4 linked regions of the Saccharomyces cerevisiae S288C genome follow. Changing the gene in region 4 together with the main gene of any one other region gives a genetic interaction. Each region holds a gene or a part of one and is shown on either strand. Other genes may lie near its edges.

Region 1 (3,296 bases), on a different chromosome or scaffold from region 4:
TTCGATTTCCGTTGCCGTTACTGGAGTACTTGGTATTTCCTTCATTGTTATTGTTTTGATTAACGTAATTCTTTTCATCAGTTCGTTTAGTAGTTTCACCGTTATGGTTAACGGCTGACTTTGAACTGGAGCCAGTGCCAGCATTGGTCAAAGAATTATCGAGTACATAAGACCCGTTGTTCTTTTTTTCTCTATCCGCTGTTGCAGATGAGGTTAGCTCCGAATCTCTTATTTCATTCGTATTATCCAGTTGACGATTCATGCTATTGTATTTCCCACCGTCGTCCCTTACCAAACGAATAAGGCTATAAAAGGCCTCGTCTACGTTGATGGCTTGTTTCGCAGACGTTTCTAGAAAGGGTGCATTCAACTGCTTGGCCAGGCGTAACCCGTCTTCATAAGAGACTTGTCTTTCATTTTCAAGGTCCAATTTGTTACCTACCACGACTACAGGAATGTAGTCAGAATCTTTTACTCTTTGAATTTGCTGATAATAAGACAGTAACTCATCAAAGGAATTTCTAGAGGTGACGGAATAGACCAGTAGGAAACCTTCCCCAGTCCTCATGTACTGTTCTCTCATCGCAGAATACTCTTCTTGTCCAGCAGTATCTAGAATGTCCAAAATGGATACTTTGTCATCGATGACAACTTGTTTTCTGTAAGAATCTTCGATAGTAGGGTCATATTCGTCCACAAAGTATGATTGAATGAATTGAATTGTTAAAGCAGATTTACCAACGCCACCTCCACCGACAACTACTATCTTATACTCTCTTATAGTTGATTTATTTCCCTGCATGTCGTTCTAAAAAGGGAAAATTTTGTTTACCTGTTCAATCGTGAAATAGCCAAACCGAAGTCAATTGTGGCAGCAGTTAATTAAGCATTGCAAGAAAGAACAAGACAGATGATAATAGAGACACCGTACAAGAAAGAATCCAAATTAAGAGAACCATACAAAGACATAAAATATAAACCTTTCAATGTAAAACAAAAGGAGGAAAAAACCTGAAAAGCCGTGAAAAATTCATAATCTTGCGATGAGTTGAAAAAGTTTGTTGTCAAATGTCCATAGACTTACATGTAGTAAATATTTTTGGTTTCTTTTTTTTTCTTCGTGCTTTTTTTTTTTCCTACGGGTTTACATTGTGCCAATGTGAATTTCCCCGCCACTCCCTACCGAACGGGTAGCAGCGTAGAACATAGCGATCAAGGGTGTGCTAAGTGAAGAAGCAATTCAGTGCGGGTAATACATATTCCTAGCCTCGTTTGCCGTTACATTGCATTGATGGTACAATAAAGGGCATGCTTTATATCGAGATGTTTCAGTGTATATGAGGGGAAACAGAAAAGAGTCATTCCTGCCATTTTTTGGTCACTGCTTTTTCTGCTATGAGTAATGGTGAAGTTCCTTGTGGCTACACGCTTAATGTCATCGGGTTACTGCTCCTAATATCCGCATATAAGCTTTATGCAGGGATCAGTTGGGCGGCTATTTATCTACACCCAGTCATCCGGCGTGACTGGATCTCCACTTGCCGCAATAAGTCGGTGGACAAATGGAGATTTAAGAGTAAAGATGCATGATGGTATAATTCCTTTAGTCGAAATAGATATATTTCAAGCGCATATATAGGCAGACGCTTGTACTGTAGAAATAGCCGATATTCAATTGCGCTCTATGTGTGTTTTTATTCCAGGTTTTCCTTGGATTCTACGTATTGTACGACTTTCTTATCCTCCACAAACGTCATCGTGTCAGTAATGTCTTCAGACACTTCATTATCAGAATCTTCATTATTGAAAGAAGAGAGTGGGAGCTTGACCAAGTCTCGTCCACCTATAAAATCAAACCCTGTACGCGAAAATATCAAATCATTTGTGGCCGGTGGAGTTGGCGGGGTATGTGCGGTGTTTACGGGTCATCCCTTCGATTTGATTAAAGTGAGATGTCAAAATGGACAAGCGAATTCCACGGTACATGCCATTACAAATATTATAAAAGAAGCAAAAACTCAAGTAAAGGGCACATTATTTACCAATTCCGTAAAGGGGTTCTATAAAGGTGTTATCCCGCCCTTATTAGGTGTTACTCCCATATTCGCTGTTTCTTTCTGGGGTTACGATGTGGGTAAGAAACTGGTTACTTTTAATAACAAGCAAGGAGGCAGTAACGAGTTAACTATGGGACAAATGGCTGCAGCAGGATTTATCAGCGCTATTCCTACCACTTTAGTGACTGCGCCAACGGAAAGAGTAAAGGTTGTCCTGCAAACATCTTCTAAGGGCTCTTTCATTCAGGCGGCTAAAACCATTGTTAAAGAAGGTGGCATAGCTTCTTTATTTAAAGGTTCATTAGCCACTTTAGCAAGAGATGGGCCTGGCTCAGCTCTATATTTTGCATCTTATGAAATTTCAAAAAATTACTTGAATAGTAGGCAACCTCGTCAAGATGCGGGCAAAGATGAACCGGTCAATATCTTGAACGTGTGTCTTGCTGGTGGTATTGCTGGTATGTCGATGTGGCTAGCTGTTTTCCCCATAGACACTATAAAGACAAAATTGCAGGCTTCCTCCACGAGGCAGAATATGCTTTCCGCCACAAAGGAAATTTATCTACAAAGAGGTGGTATCAAGGGATTTTTCCCTGGTTTAGGTCCTGCTTTACTAAGATCTTTCCCAGCCAATGCGGCCACATTTTTAGGTGTGGAGATGACTCATTCACTGTTCAAGAAGTATGGCATATGATTAAATTTTTGTTAGGTGGACCTGCCTCCCATTTTTTTCTGGCATTCCTTTTGGGAACTTTTTGTTATTTTTTGGTTCTGCAATTTCGTTCAGTGTATGGTAGAAAATATCAGTTGGGTTATCCCGGTTTCCTTGGCGTTGTTGTCGAAGCGTTCATATTTGTAACGCAATGGAGTAAATATAAATGTGATATGTAAAAAAAAGAGTTATAATTTATTCTGTTTCTTTAAATAGTATAAATAAAAAAAGTGGAAAATACAAAGACAACGTGGGCTGATTACAGTATAATCAACCGATATGGTTTTGCCAACCAGCAGGCTTTGGCAACTTGTTTATATTGTAGAATTTAGTAGTACATGAATAACTGTGCCATGTGAAATCTTTGCTTGGATCACAGTCACATTTGTTAGCCAGTCTGATACTTGTGTCTATTGGACAGGAGTGAAATGGAACATGGTAATAACCAATATCACCGAAGTGATGGATTTCAGAGCGGTCCAAGAACAGCGCAGCACCAATAGAATGAACTGGAGCATCACCCCATC
Region 2 (3,474 bases), on a different chromosome or scaffold from region 4:
TCCATTTCATGGGTTAGATAATGAGCCACGGTACGTGCATATTTATCTGTTTTATTGATATAAGAAACCAGCTCCTCTTCAGTACAATTGAACAGCATGATCTTTATGAGAACTTTCGCGGCTTCTAAATTTCCTGCTTTTATCGATTCTATAAGCAGCGTAGAACCATCAATCGTTTCGTCCTCTAAAAGGTCTTCTACTGGAAAGTCGTTTTCATATTCAGAAAGAATATCTAATAAGATGTAGTTTTTATGATTTGTTATACATATGGATAGAATGGATTGTCCTTGCTCATTTCTGTAGGTCAAAATATCCTTGTATGTTGCCAGATCTTCTACTTCATTTGTGGGGTTTTCACATGACAACTTATCTAATAAATTCTTAGTTTTTTCACATAATGTGTTAGCTTTCGCCACGTTGCCTGTATTTTTGTTGAAGTCTTCGAAATAACAAACCACTGCTTCCAGTGTGGATACAGCATACCCTAGAATGCCGAATTTTGTAGAAGAAGAGTTATTCGAAAAATTTTGCAAATAGTAAAGATGACTTTTAAGGTGCTTTTGTTCACTTCTGCAAACAACGAGCACAAAAAGGCTAATTAAAGTGTCTGCATCCATCGTCATGTTATTCAATCCGTCTGGTAGTTCTAGTTGATGTGAATCCATTTCGGTAGTACCTGATAATTTCTGTAGAGTTTCAACTAATATTTTAGATTTTTCAGCGTATGAATGGGTCAAAGCCAACTTTTGAAGATGTTTGGACGCTAGATGGAGACGCCTTTCAATAAGAGTGATGTCGTGTAATTTAAATTCCCCATAATCTTTTGAGTAAAAATCTGTCAACAACTGGTTCACTGAAAAATATTTATTTTTTCAGTGTCTACTTCGTGGCCTTTGAAATGTGTAGTAAGCCTAGACCATATATCATCGTAAAGATTTAGTTCAAAATAGTCGTGTATAAGATCGTAAAGATTAGAAAAGTTCTTGAAAAGTGAATCCGATTTCATTCCATCAAATGCTTGTTGCACGATGCTTTCAAAAATACTTCTAGATGGATCATCACCAGGAGCGAGCGTTCTGTAACTCGAAAACAATTGGCCAAGCTGTGTTAATCGAGCAGGATGAATGTGCAATATATTCTCGAATGACGATCTTTCTTGCTGAAAAGAATCTATCGACAGATTTGGCATAGCATGTGCATTTTTTGGTATTTTCTCATAATTGTGAAAACACTGTAAGTAGTCGTTAGGTACAAATTCGCAATTTAAAGGTTGATCTATGAATAGTATGATAAAATCAGCCGCCCCTTCAAAGTAGTCATTAAAATTGGGTAATATTTTTGTCTCTAGAATCTTTAGTCTTCGCCTTATATGAAATCCATTTAAGGCATGGATCACATTATTCTTCCATTGAATAACAACGGTCTTACCATCTAACGTTTCATAATGACTGTCCCTTGAATTCGTATTTATGTAAGAGTTTTCAGTCATTAACAATATGTAAGAGTTAATAAACTCTGCATTATAACAGAGGTCATGTAACGGCAGTTTGCTCTTGACATCGTGGTAATTCAAAAGGTATTCTGAAGGAGGTGCTAGGAGGATAAACCTACGGGTTTTTAAATTAGCGAAAAGCTTTTTCAATGGGGATCTTTCTGGTTCGGGACAGTTAAATATAGCATTAACCAGCGGGTTCAACAGCGTTGGTAAATGGTAAACTGACATTGTCAACCCTAGCTAAGCCATAGCTTTTCCGTTGAGGAATTTACAATAAGGTGGTTCCTTTAGTTATAAATTGCAACTGCCAAAATTTTCGGGTAGCGGCAAAATTAAACGAAAACCTTCTGTCATATTAAACATAGTTTAGTGACGCAATGCACACACACTCATATATATGTATATATTTATCTATATCATAGGTGTAAGGCAAAGTTATCACGTGAATATACTGTTTAGTATACAAGTACGTTGATTTAACGGCTGAGAGATTCTCAAACAAAGTAACGCTTAGTTTAGCTAAAGTAGAATCGAAGCGCAGTGAAGGCAAGACGAGTTATCCCTTTATCACAAAATATAAAAAATAGGTAAAGAGGGGGGTGGGGGTGGTTCGGACTTTGCATCTCGGTGCATTAGTACCACTCAGCTTCAGTTATAGGAATACTGACAATGTTCTTGAGCCAGGGAGAACTGAAATTTCCATACCCTTTAACCCTTTATTCTTGAGCATATGATCTTATTTTTCCACTCAGCACAAAATACACATCCCGCATATGATCTGGACACTGAATAAACAAGGGGCTTTACGATGGAGTAGTAGACCTGGATACGTAGTCACCACAGGGATCCTAAACTGCGTCATAGTAAGTTTCTTTGATACTAGAATGTCCCTCTCTCGTAGTAGTTGATATCCCGTATTTCTAGTTAGTGACGTTTATAAATAGGGAGAAAAAAAATCGGAATAACATTTCCATGCCTTTTTTTTGACACTTCAGACCAGATACGCCACCAGCTACAAACTAACAATGTCCACTGATAGTACACGCTATCCAATTCAGATTGAGAAAGCCTCGAATGATCCAACCCTTCTGCTTAATCACACATGTTTAAGAGTCAAGGATCCAGCAAGGACCGTTAAGTTCTACACCGAACACTTCGGTATGAAGCTATTAAGCAGAAAGGATTTTGAAGAAGCAAAATTTAGCTTGTACTTTTTAAGCTTTCCAAAAGACGACATACCCAAAAATAAGAATGGAGAGCCTGATGTTTTTAGCGCACACGGTGTCTTAGAACTAACTCACAATTGGGGTACTGAAAAAAACCCAGACTACAAGATCAACAACGGGAATGAGGAACCTCATCGTGGATTTGGGCACATCTGTTTTTCTGTATCCGATATCAATAAAACCTGCGAAGAGCTAGAATCTCAGGGTGTCAAATTCAAGAAGAGACTCTCTGAAGGAAGACAGAAGGACATTGCGTTTGCTTTAGGCCCTGATGGATACTGGATTGAGTTGATCACATATTCTAGAGAGGGTCAGGAATACCCAAAGGGCTCAGTAGGTAACAAGTTCAATCATACCATGATTCGTATTAAAAACCCAACCCGGTCTTTAGAATTCTACCAGAATGTGTTGGGCATGAAATTATTAAGAACTAGTGAGCACGAAAGTGCAAAATTTACGTTATACTTTCTTGGTTATGGCGTTCCAAAGACCGACAGCGTTTTTTCATGTGAAAGTGTGTTGGAGTTAACTCATAATTGGGGAACTGAGAATGATCCAAACTTCCACTATCATAACGGTAACTCAGAGCCCCAGGGTTATGGTCACATCTGCATAAGTTGTGATGACGCTGGCGCCCTTTGTAAAGAAATTGAAGTGAAATACGGCGATAAGATCCAATGGTCTCCTAAATTTAACCAAGGCAGAATGAAGAATATTGCCTTTTTGAAGGATCCTGATGGTTATTCCATTGAA
Region 3 (5,037 bases), on a different chromosome or scaffold from region 4:
TATTGAATAACTTAGAATTTAAAACTACCTTATACAAGATGGGCATATAAAGGACATGCCAAATGGACATATTAAATACGCTCGATGTACCAGAACATCCAGGAACTTACCATAGAAAAATATGTAACGACTTATAAACTTTAAATAAATTAGAGATTCAATGAATCTCTAATTTTTTCCGCCCGCCTATTGAACTTTTACTTTGTCATTAATCTATTCTGAAATAGGTACAGAGCGACGCCAGTGTAAACATATGTGTGATGGACATCAGCATTCAATGTATATCTTATCACACCAGTTTATCCAAAGATAGATGCAGTTTTGAAATTGGTTACTTAGAATATTTCTACTACATTTCGATAACAAATATAACTATTTTGAATTTAAAAGTTGAGTATCCAAAAATTTTAGAAATACATACAATTACTTCCCAATTACTTCCCAAATATTCTCCCCCCTGGTTTGATATCATAAAAGCACCTTATGGCAACAAGATTCCCGGGATAGTAATGCTATTTAAATGTATATCTATTTCTCGAATACTTGTATCTTTACTCCACTACCCCTATGCAAGAAGATACGCGATAGTTTTTGTTCCTTCCTCTTCCTACTCTGTTAATTAACTGAAAATTATTTATATTGAAAAGGTACTTGTAGCAAATTAGACAAGGAATTCTCCTGGTATAAAGTTAGAGAAACAGAAATATGAAACGGCCACCCCAGGTATGAAATATTATCTTAAGAAGAGCCATGAACACACATGAATAGATTCTTGAGACATGCTTAGGGTAACAAAGACTGTAACGCCTTGTTGCAATACTGCTTTATTCAAATTTTTAAATTGTACGGAATTGTGGTAAGGAGAATGTGCAAATAACTTAGCATGAAACGGTGCTATAGTTGAATCATTGTATGAGGTAACATCACTTCAACGAAAAGAAGAATAAAATTGACCTGCACATGGAGAAAGCGTAATATATAAAAAATGTTTACAATTTTGGCGCACTATATGGGAGAACAGCTGCTGGATAATATTATGCCCTTACTTCATTTCACCATATCCGTTTACAGTTCAAATCTCGCCGTCGAGCCATAAATTCTCAAAATTCCTTTGCAAATATTTTGCTTACCTGTAACCGGCAGCTTACATTCTTCCGTCATAATTTCTCAGACGGATGACATAAACCATTTTTTCAGAATCCTCGATAACATAATCGATCAAAACAGTAATAAACATTCTCTTGCACAAAATGGACTTTGGCAGCAAATCCTGAAATATTGTGGAGTATTGCCAGAGGTAAAAGCAACGTTGAACAAATTATGACACTAGACCTCTTAGGCATAAAGATGACATCATCTAGGTACTCGTAAAGATCCTAACCACAGATTCCACCTTAAAAGACGACAATAGTAACTTTGTCCTTGATCTGGGTTACTAAATCAGCGATATGATCATTAAAGTGAATATCCCCTTCTTAAAATGTACCAAATATCTTATACGTTTGCAGTTTTTCTTTTCCTTTTTCTTTATTTCTTTGGTAAGGACTAGGTAATTATTTCCGTATTTGGCTCCTTTGGCGCTTAAAAAATCTTGTACGCAAATTTCCACAAGATATTGCGTGACAATTACTATTACTGAAGTTGAACTTGTTTCATGTCTCCGCCTGTGTTAACTCCGTTTTGCTTAACTCCGTCTCGTATTACAGTAAATTCATGATGTGCCTATGAATATGCAGCTAGCCTGCTGCAGGCAAAATTATTTTTAGCTTTGTGCGCTACAGTGGTAGTAACTTAAAACTTAAAAGCTAAAATGCAAAAACAGTAGAGTGCGGGGTATGCTTTTCTTTTGAACGTGCACTGCGCAGAGGCACAATTTAGCAAAGAAGTCAGGCAAGGTAGATGATGTAAACAAACGAGGACTTGTACTGCGCATCTTGAACCTTTCAATATCATAAGTGCAATCAGCTAAAGGTTTGATTTTCCGAATGCTCTGCAAAAAAGTTAAACATGGTTATATAACTCAAGTATGATAACTCCAGTGTTGGCCTGTAATCACCAACTTTCAAACGTATAAAGAAAGTAAGTAATTCATTGTTTGCTTCAGGTTTAGTCTTATTACTATCCATAGAAGTAAAACTATTGATATTATTGACAGAAAAGGAGGAAAGGAAACTAAAGGAAAAAAATGGCAAGCGAACAGTCCTCACCAGAAATTAATGCAGATAATCTAAACAGTAGTGCAGCTGACGTTCATGTACAGCCACCCGGAGAGAAAGAATGGTCAGACGGGTTTTATGACAAAGAAGTCATTAATGGAAATACGCCAGACGCACCGAAGAGAGGCTTTTTAGGTTACCTTATTATCTACTTACTATGCTATCCTGTATCCTTTGGCGGTTTTTTACCTGGTTGGGATAGTGGTATTACTGCAGGCTTCATCAATATGGATAACTTTAAAATGAATTTTGGTTCTTACAAGCACAGTACTGGTGAGTATTATTTGAGCAACGTGCGTATGGGTCTTCTCGTGGCCATGTTCAGTGTAGGATGTTCCATTGGCGGTGTTGCTTTTGCGAGACTTGCTGATACTTTAGGTAGAAGGCTAGCAATTGTAATCGTGGTTTTGGTATATATGGTTGGTGCAATTATTCAGATCAGTTCGAATCACAAATGGTACCAATACTTTGTCGGTAAGATCATCTACGGTCTTGGTGCTGGTGGCTGTTCGGTGTTGTGTCCAATGCTTTTATCTGAAATAGCCCCCACAGATTTGAGAGGTGGACTTGTCTCATTGTACCAACTTAACATGACCTTCGGTATTTTCTTGGGTTATTGTAGCGTTTATGGAACAAGGAAGTATAGTAATACTGCGCAATGGAGGATTCCTGTGGGACTATGCTTTCTGTGGGCTCTAATTATCATCGTTGGCATGTTATTAGTTCCAGAGTCCCCAAGATATCTGATTGAATGTGAGAGACATGAAGAGGCCTGTGTCTCCATCGCCAAGATCGACAAGGTTTCACCAGAGGATCCATGGGTACTCAAACAGGCTGATGAAATCAACGCCGGTGTCCTTGCCCAAAGAGAACTAGGGGAAGCCTCATGGAAAGAACTTTTCTCCGTCAAAACAAAAGTCCTTCAACGTTTGATCACAGGTATTCTTGTGCAAACCTTTTTGCAACTTACTGGTGAAAACTACTTCTTCTTCTACGGAACTACCATTTTCAAATCAGTTGGGCTTACTGATGGGTTTGAGACTTCGATCGTCCTAGGTACAGTGAATTTCTTCTCCACTATTATTGCTGTTATGGTCGTAGACAAAATAGGCCGTCGTAAATGTCTGTTATTCGGAGCGGCTTCAATGATGGCTTGTATGGTCATATTTGCAAGTATCGGGGTAAAATGTCTTTACCCTCATGGCCAGGATGGTCCATCCTCGAAAGGTGCAGGTAATGCCATGATTGTGTTCACATGCTTCTATATATTCTGCTTTGCAACGACATGGGCCCCTGTTGCTTATATTGTGGTTGCCGAGTCATTCCCTTCGAAGGTCAAATCTAAAGCAATGTCAATTTCGACTGCATTCAACTGGTTATGGCAATTCTTGATTGGTTTTTTCACACCATTCATTACTGGGTCTATCCACTTCTATTATGGTTATGTGTTCGTAGGTTGTTTGGTTGCTATGTTTTTGTACGTTTTCTTCTTTTTACCAGAAACAATTGGTCTATCTTTGGAGGAAACCCAGTTACTATATGAAGAAGGTATAAAACCATGGAAATCTGCATCTTGGGTACCACCCTCAAGGAGAGGAGCTTCTTCCAGGGAAACTGAGGCTAAGAAGAAAAGCTGGAAAGAAGTTTTGAAGTTCCCAAAGAGTTTTAATTGATCAATATGCGCGCTTGATAAACATGCTAAGAGATAAATTCTTGAAAAAAAATAGGGCCTACTGTAAAACGAAGTGACACGTAATTTCAAATTTAATCAACAAAAAACTACGAGTTTCTTTGCAAACTCCCTTTTTCGGACTACTAGTACTATATAAAATAACGAGTTATTTAGTGAAAGAAAGCGTTTGGTTAAGGCAACATTGTACGAAGTTCTGTTTCTTTAAGGCAAAGCAGAGTATAAAAAGTAGGATGCTTATGGAGTGAAAACGGAGTGGTGATGAAGATGGGGAAGTCAACATAGGTCCACTTGAGTGCTTATGGAAGATCCTTAAAAATGCATTTCCAGGAACGTAACACTGTACCATTCCTCTAAATAAAGTGTATACAATAATATAGAAATATAGATTCTTCCCAAATATTCAGTTGTTACTATAAAGGGAATATTTGAGCTCGTTATTAGCGTGGCCGCACAAACAACCATCATATTAGAAGAGATAACTTTGTTTCAACTCGGGGGGGCAAACTTTCTCATGCTTCGTTAACTTGGCAAATACAACAAGCATACTTTTTGCGGTGAAAACATTTTGAGGCATGTTTCCACACAACATAATAGCGAATGGAGTAAGATTTTTTTTGTAGTACAGTAAAAAGACCTCATATAGGTACCCGTACAAAGTCTCTGACCTCTCTGGGTGACCTGGGTCATTAGTAGTTCAAGGAGCATCTGCCACTAAAAGATTTGTGACCTAACTGTGGTAGTAACCGTTAAAGACACGGTATTGAAACAATGGGTTCAAAACAGTCGAGGGTTTTAGCATTTAAGTCGGCATATGTCCATTTCTATCCTTTTTCCAAGTCTATTGAGTTTCTTTATCTTTTTACTTATTTCCTTTTTGAAAGGTCTTACGACAAAGTTCAAAGCTTGATGAATTGTCTATTACTTTATTTGCTAAATTGAAACTCTGGATGAGTACCAATTCTTCTTTTCATTTTGCGATAATTGACATTATGATTTTTCAACTAATTAACATGATATTGTACATAATTTTTTAATATCAAAGCGCTACGTCCACTGAAACTATAGAACCGTTCATCTGTCGAATCAACATCTCTACAATTAGTACGAAAGCTTAGTTTATCAATTTTT
Region 4 (4,788 bases):
TAATAAGGTTAATGGACCGTTGACTAGATCACAATATGGTAAAAGAAACCCACAAGGTGTACTAGTCGATGTTGTTATTGAACGCCTTCTGCATCATACAAACTCCAGGTATATGTACAAACGTTTAAATATGAAGGACGATGACAAATTAGAGTTCAAGTTTGATTTTGCCTTTGATAGTTGCGACGAAGTGGAGGAAATGGATCTCTCCTGCCTAATCTGCAAAGTTAATAAAAGAAATATTGTAACTTGGCCCTGTAGATGCCTTGCATTATGCGATGATTGTAGGATATCTCTGGGTTATAAAGGATTTGCTACATGCGTCAGCTGTGATAGTGAGGTGAAGGGTTACAGTAAGTTGAATATAGTCTAGAATTATTTTATTAGGTATACGTATTTAAGACATCATAGGAATTTTTTTTTTTGGATATGTTCAACCTCAAGTCTGAACACTATAACCCTAGGCCAGACTTGTCTTTTCAAATGAATGGCGGATTGGTTTATAGTTTGCACATACCTTTCTTGTCTTCATTGGAGCTGAGCATCATGTTTTGAAGCCTCTTGGCAACTTCATCAATAAACTCTTCTGTGGTTACATATGATGATCTATTAGTCTTTCCAAGCATCAATGCTAAATCCTTGGTCATTTTTCCGCCCACTTGAACTGTGTCCAAAGTAGCCTTTTCTAGTAAGTTTCCAAATTTTATAACATCATCTGTATTGTCTAATTTTCCTCTTTGTATAATTGCCCTTGTCCAGGCAAATATTGAGGCTATTGAATTTGTTGATGTTTCTTCGCCTCTTTGATGTTTTCTAAAATGTCTGGTCACCGTACCATGGGCAGCCTCGCTTTCAAACGTTTTACCATCAGGTGTAATCAATATGGACGTCATTAAACCAAGAGACCCAAATCCTTGTGCCACAATGTCAGACTGGACATCGCCATCATAATTCTTCATGGCGATTATAAACCCGCCCTTTGATTTTAGCATCTGTGCTACCATATCATCAATCAAACGATGCTCGTACGTTATTTTTAAAGCCTGAAACTTTTCCTTATATTCTTTATCGAACAAATTATCGAAAATTTGTTTGAACTGATTATCATAATTTTTCAGAATAGTGTTTTTGGTTGTAAAGAATAACGGTAGTTTTCTTTTGAGAGCTAATTCGAAGGATGCCTTTGCGAACCCTTTAATGGAATCATTTGTATTAAACATTGCCATTGCGATCCCACCACTTTTAGGAAATTCATAAACCTTTAAATCGATGTTTTCTTTACCGTCATCTGAGCTAAACTGTAACCTTAGTTTGCCTGCTTTTTTAATCTTGATGTCAGTAGCCCTATATTGGTCACCAAAAGCATGACGGCCTATAATTATAGGTTTCTCCCAGTGAGGGACTAGACGAGGTATTTTTGGAATAATGATGGGTTCTCTAAATACAGTTCCACCTAGGATGTTTCTGATTGTTCCATTTGGAGATTTCCACATTTCTTTAAGGTTAAATTCTTTCATTCTTGCCTCATCGGGTGTTATAGTGGCACATTTGACAGCAACCCCATATTTTAGGGTAGCATAAGAAGAATCCTTTGTTACTTGATCATTAGTCCTATCACGCTCTTGGATTGAAAGGTCATAGTATTTTAAATCCACATCTAAATATGGCAATATCAATTTTTCTTTGATAAGTTTCCAAATAACTCTTGTCTGCTCATCACCGTCCATTTCCACGATGGGATGAACAACTTTAATTTTACTCATTTTAACTTGGACAACTATCTCTAAAGTGTTGCTTGTGTTTACTGCAGGTATGTGCAGGAGAAAGCTTATAAGGGGAACACTCTTATATACGAAGATGCAAAATTGGGGTAATTAATGTAAATTTAAGAATGACAAGAAGAGTTGACTAGTACACGCAACGAAATACTAATCACATTTTACTTTTCCCCTAAAAGAGAGCTCCTGCTTTTCTCTTTACTGTCCCTTTTGGTATGTTTGATTGATTTCTAATTAGTATACTTGAAATATCATTCGTTTTGTATTAAAGATTCGGCATTAAGCATGCTAAATCCGAGGAGGATCTTCCTTTATTTTTTGATGTTCTTTCTCTCAGACAATAAAAAAGATATACAAGAAAAATATAGTACGTACGTATATATGCATACATATGTAAGAGGCAGTTACACGGTATTAAACTTTAATATTTCGTAAGAGTCTTGCACTAATTTTCCATCAATTCAGCGACTGTCTTTTCACCAGCCAGAACTTGTTTCATGCTAGCCAAGATGTCTTTGAAGGTATCGAATTCATGGAATGGGACGTTTTGTTTTTTACAATAAGTGACCAAATCTTTACCTCTTTTGGCAAATAGCAAATCACATTCTTTTGCAGCACTTAGATCAGAAACACCGTCACCACAGTAAAAGTAAACGGGTCTTTGTTCACCTGCTTTCAAGGTAGATTCAAATTTCTTTTTATAAGCATCGATACTTCTGGATTTGTCATGTCCGAAGGGACTTTCATCCTTATAGATGATTTTCCATTGATCATGTGCATCGATTTCCACTTCATTGGAAACAATGTCAATTTTGTGAATAGACTCTTGTCCAACTAATCTGGTCAATAAAACCTTGATAATTGGTTTCATTCCGCTGGAAACAACGATGACAGGGACATCATTTTCTTGAGCCCATTCGAATGTATCCTTGAAACCAGGATCCAATCGAATTTTCTTTTCTAAGATCTTGATACACTCAGGGAAAGGGGTGTGGATGGATTCCAGCATTTCCATGAAACCTTGCCTAAAAGACTTAGTATCATCTAACACGCCTTCGAAGACCTTTAATCTTTTTTCCTTACCGAAACCTAAAGTATCGGTCAGATAATCGTTAGAATCTTCCAAAGTAACGGTACCGTCGAAATCGGTAAAAATAACAGCTTTGACCATTTCCCTTGTATATATATAAATGCTATGTCACTCCAGCTTATGTTATGTGAGCAAGTTTCAAGAATGTGTGCGTTCTGTTGAGATAAACAATAGAGGACACTGTATTTTTTTAATTTAAGATGATGAAAAATTATGCGATAATTTTCGAAAATTTCGCTCATTTTAGAAAAAGAGATTTGAACAGGGTACCATAGTAGAACGATAAAAGAATATGTCGTACAATGTGTTGGGTTGTTGATATCCAATAAAGAGTTTTTTTCAGCGTGTAATGCTTAGATATTATGTGGAAAGTTACTACTGTTGTATTAACCTGTTTCGTATTTCCTAAAGAACGCTAATGTGTGATGTTTGGGTTTATTTCTTAAGCTATTTAGGCGGACTATGAAAGAGAGGAAACGGAATCTTTTGTTCCCTCGAGGTAATAAGGGGACAAAATAGCAGAGTGTGGTGAGATAGTTTACTAGATGAACGTCGTTGTGTGCTCCGGTGGGACTGCCACAAATTCATTGACTCCTTGCTTTTCTAATATTTCTATCTTAAAAGGACATGAGCTGACGTATATATTGCCAATATCAGATAATGGCGGGTCCACAAGTGAAATTCTACGAATAGTTGGTGGCCCAGCAATTGGTGATATCAGATCTAGAATAGTGAGACTACTTCAAGATGAACAGCTTGTCGAGTTGTTTGGCCATAGGCTACCTAATGATAAGTTATTAGCTAAGAAAGAATGGAATGAAATAGTGGAAGGTTCGCATCCCATATGGAAAAATATTTCGATAGAAGTTAAGGAAATGTGTCGTTCTTTTATTATCCATATGCAAGCAGAACTCTTGAAAAAAATCAAACACTCGAATCCATTTCAGTTTGAGAGTGCATCCATTGGAAATTTTTTCTTAACTGGTGCTAGATTGTTTTTAGGTTCTCTAGACGCATCTATTGAACTAATGATGAGGATAGGAAGGTGCAGTCCTCTAGTTCATGTTATTCCATGTATAAATACCAATCACACACATCATATCTCGGCTTTGTTGACGAATGGTGAGATGATAACTGGCCAATCACAAATATCGCATCCCTCGAAATCTGTTCCTAAAGATAATAGCATAGCACATTCAGCTAAATTTATTCATTTACTTGGCTCTTATGACGACCATTTGAAAATTCTCCTCGACGATGAGGAAGAAGAAGCGGAAGAGGAGTATGCCAATCCTATCTATATTCTTCCAGAACTGAAAAACTCCCAGTTGCATTTTGACAAGCTTGATGAATCACAGAATCTACCTGCTCCGGTACATAGGATATTGTATATAAACCCATATGGCGAAGAGATAAAACCAATGGGAAATCCAAGAGCTATTTCCAAGGTGAAAAAAGCTGACATGGTCGTTTATTCTATCGGTTCTTTAATGACAAGTTTACTCCCAATCCTTATTCTTGGTAATCTTGCTGAAGTAATTTTGGAATCTAATAATACGAAAAAAGTTTTGCTCATAAATAATAAATATGATAGAGAGGTTTTTGGTTTAGACGGTTTACACTACGTTCAAATGATCATAGATTCTATGAGTAGGGCAATAGCAGGCTATAGGCAATCTAAGGGTGTCCATTCAGAGAATGATGACTTTGAATGGCAAGATTTTATTACTGATATTGTTTACCTAAAAAATGGTGAAATTGAAATTGATGAAACGATATTCGAGAAGCATAGTATTAGATGCCACCAGATCGCGTCTTCGGATAAGATGGAAAGTGAAGAACTTGAAAAGGTTCTGAATCAAATTGGCCTTAAAAACTGATGCAACTATGTCGCTCATTAACGGTTATTATAGTGAAGAC

What was found.
Region 1: mutations in IDP3 (region 4) and CRC1 together harm fitness less than expected from each alone (positive genetic interaction), as found in Saccharomyces cerevisiae (one large-scale study listed by BioGRID).
Region 2: mutations in IDP3 (region 4) and YML003W together harm fitness more than expected from each alone (negative genetic interaction), as found in Saccharomyces cerevisiae (one large-scale study listed by BioGRID).
Region 3: mutations in IDP3 (region 4) and HXT16 together harm fitness more than expected from each alone (negative genetic interaction), as found in Saccharomyces cerevisiae (one large-scale study listed by BioGRID).

The regions. Positions count from the first base shown.
Region 1 is NC_001147.6:512,750-516,045, reverse strand, and holds CRC1 (carnitine:acyl carnitine antiporter), read left to right. Parts: upstream 1-1,767; coding exon 1,768-2,751; downstream 2,752-3,296. Other genes in the region: Ras family GTPase RAS1, read right to left, coding at 1-802; alpha-1,2-mannosyltransferase KTR1, read right to left, coding at 3,040-3,296. UniProt on the Saccharomyces cerevisiae protein: Transports carnitine, acetylcarnitine, propionylcarnitine and to a much lower extent medium- and long-chain acylcarnitines.
Region 2 is NC_001145.3:261,732-265,205, reverse strand, and holds YML003W (uncharacterized protein), read right to left. Parts: upstream 1,724-3,474; coding exon 851-1,723; downstream 1-850. Other genes in the region: VRL1 (Vrl1p), read right to left, coding at 1-665; lactoylglutathione lyase GLO1, read left to right, coding at 2,521-3,474.
Region 3 is NC_001142.9:730,255-735,291, forward strand, and holds HXT16 (hexose transporter HXT16), read left to right. Parts: upstream 1-2,185; coding exon 2,186-3,889; downstream 3,890-5,037. UniProt on the Saccharomyces cerevisiae protein: Probable glucose transporter.
Region 4 is NC_001146.8:611,796-616,583, reverse strand, and holds IDP3 (isocitrate dehydrogenase (NADP(+)) IDP3), read right to left. Parts: upstream 1,764-4,788; coding exon 501-1,763; downstream 1-500. Other genes in the region: putative ubiquitin-protein ligase ASI3, read left to right, coding at 1-373; PYP1 (putative phosphoric monoester hydrolase), read right to left, coding at 2,224-2,949; YNL011C (uncharacterized protein), read left to right, coding at 3,414-4,748. UniProt on the Saccharomyces cerevisiae protein: May function in the production of NADPH for fatty acid and sterol synthesis.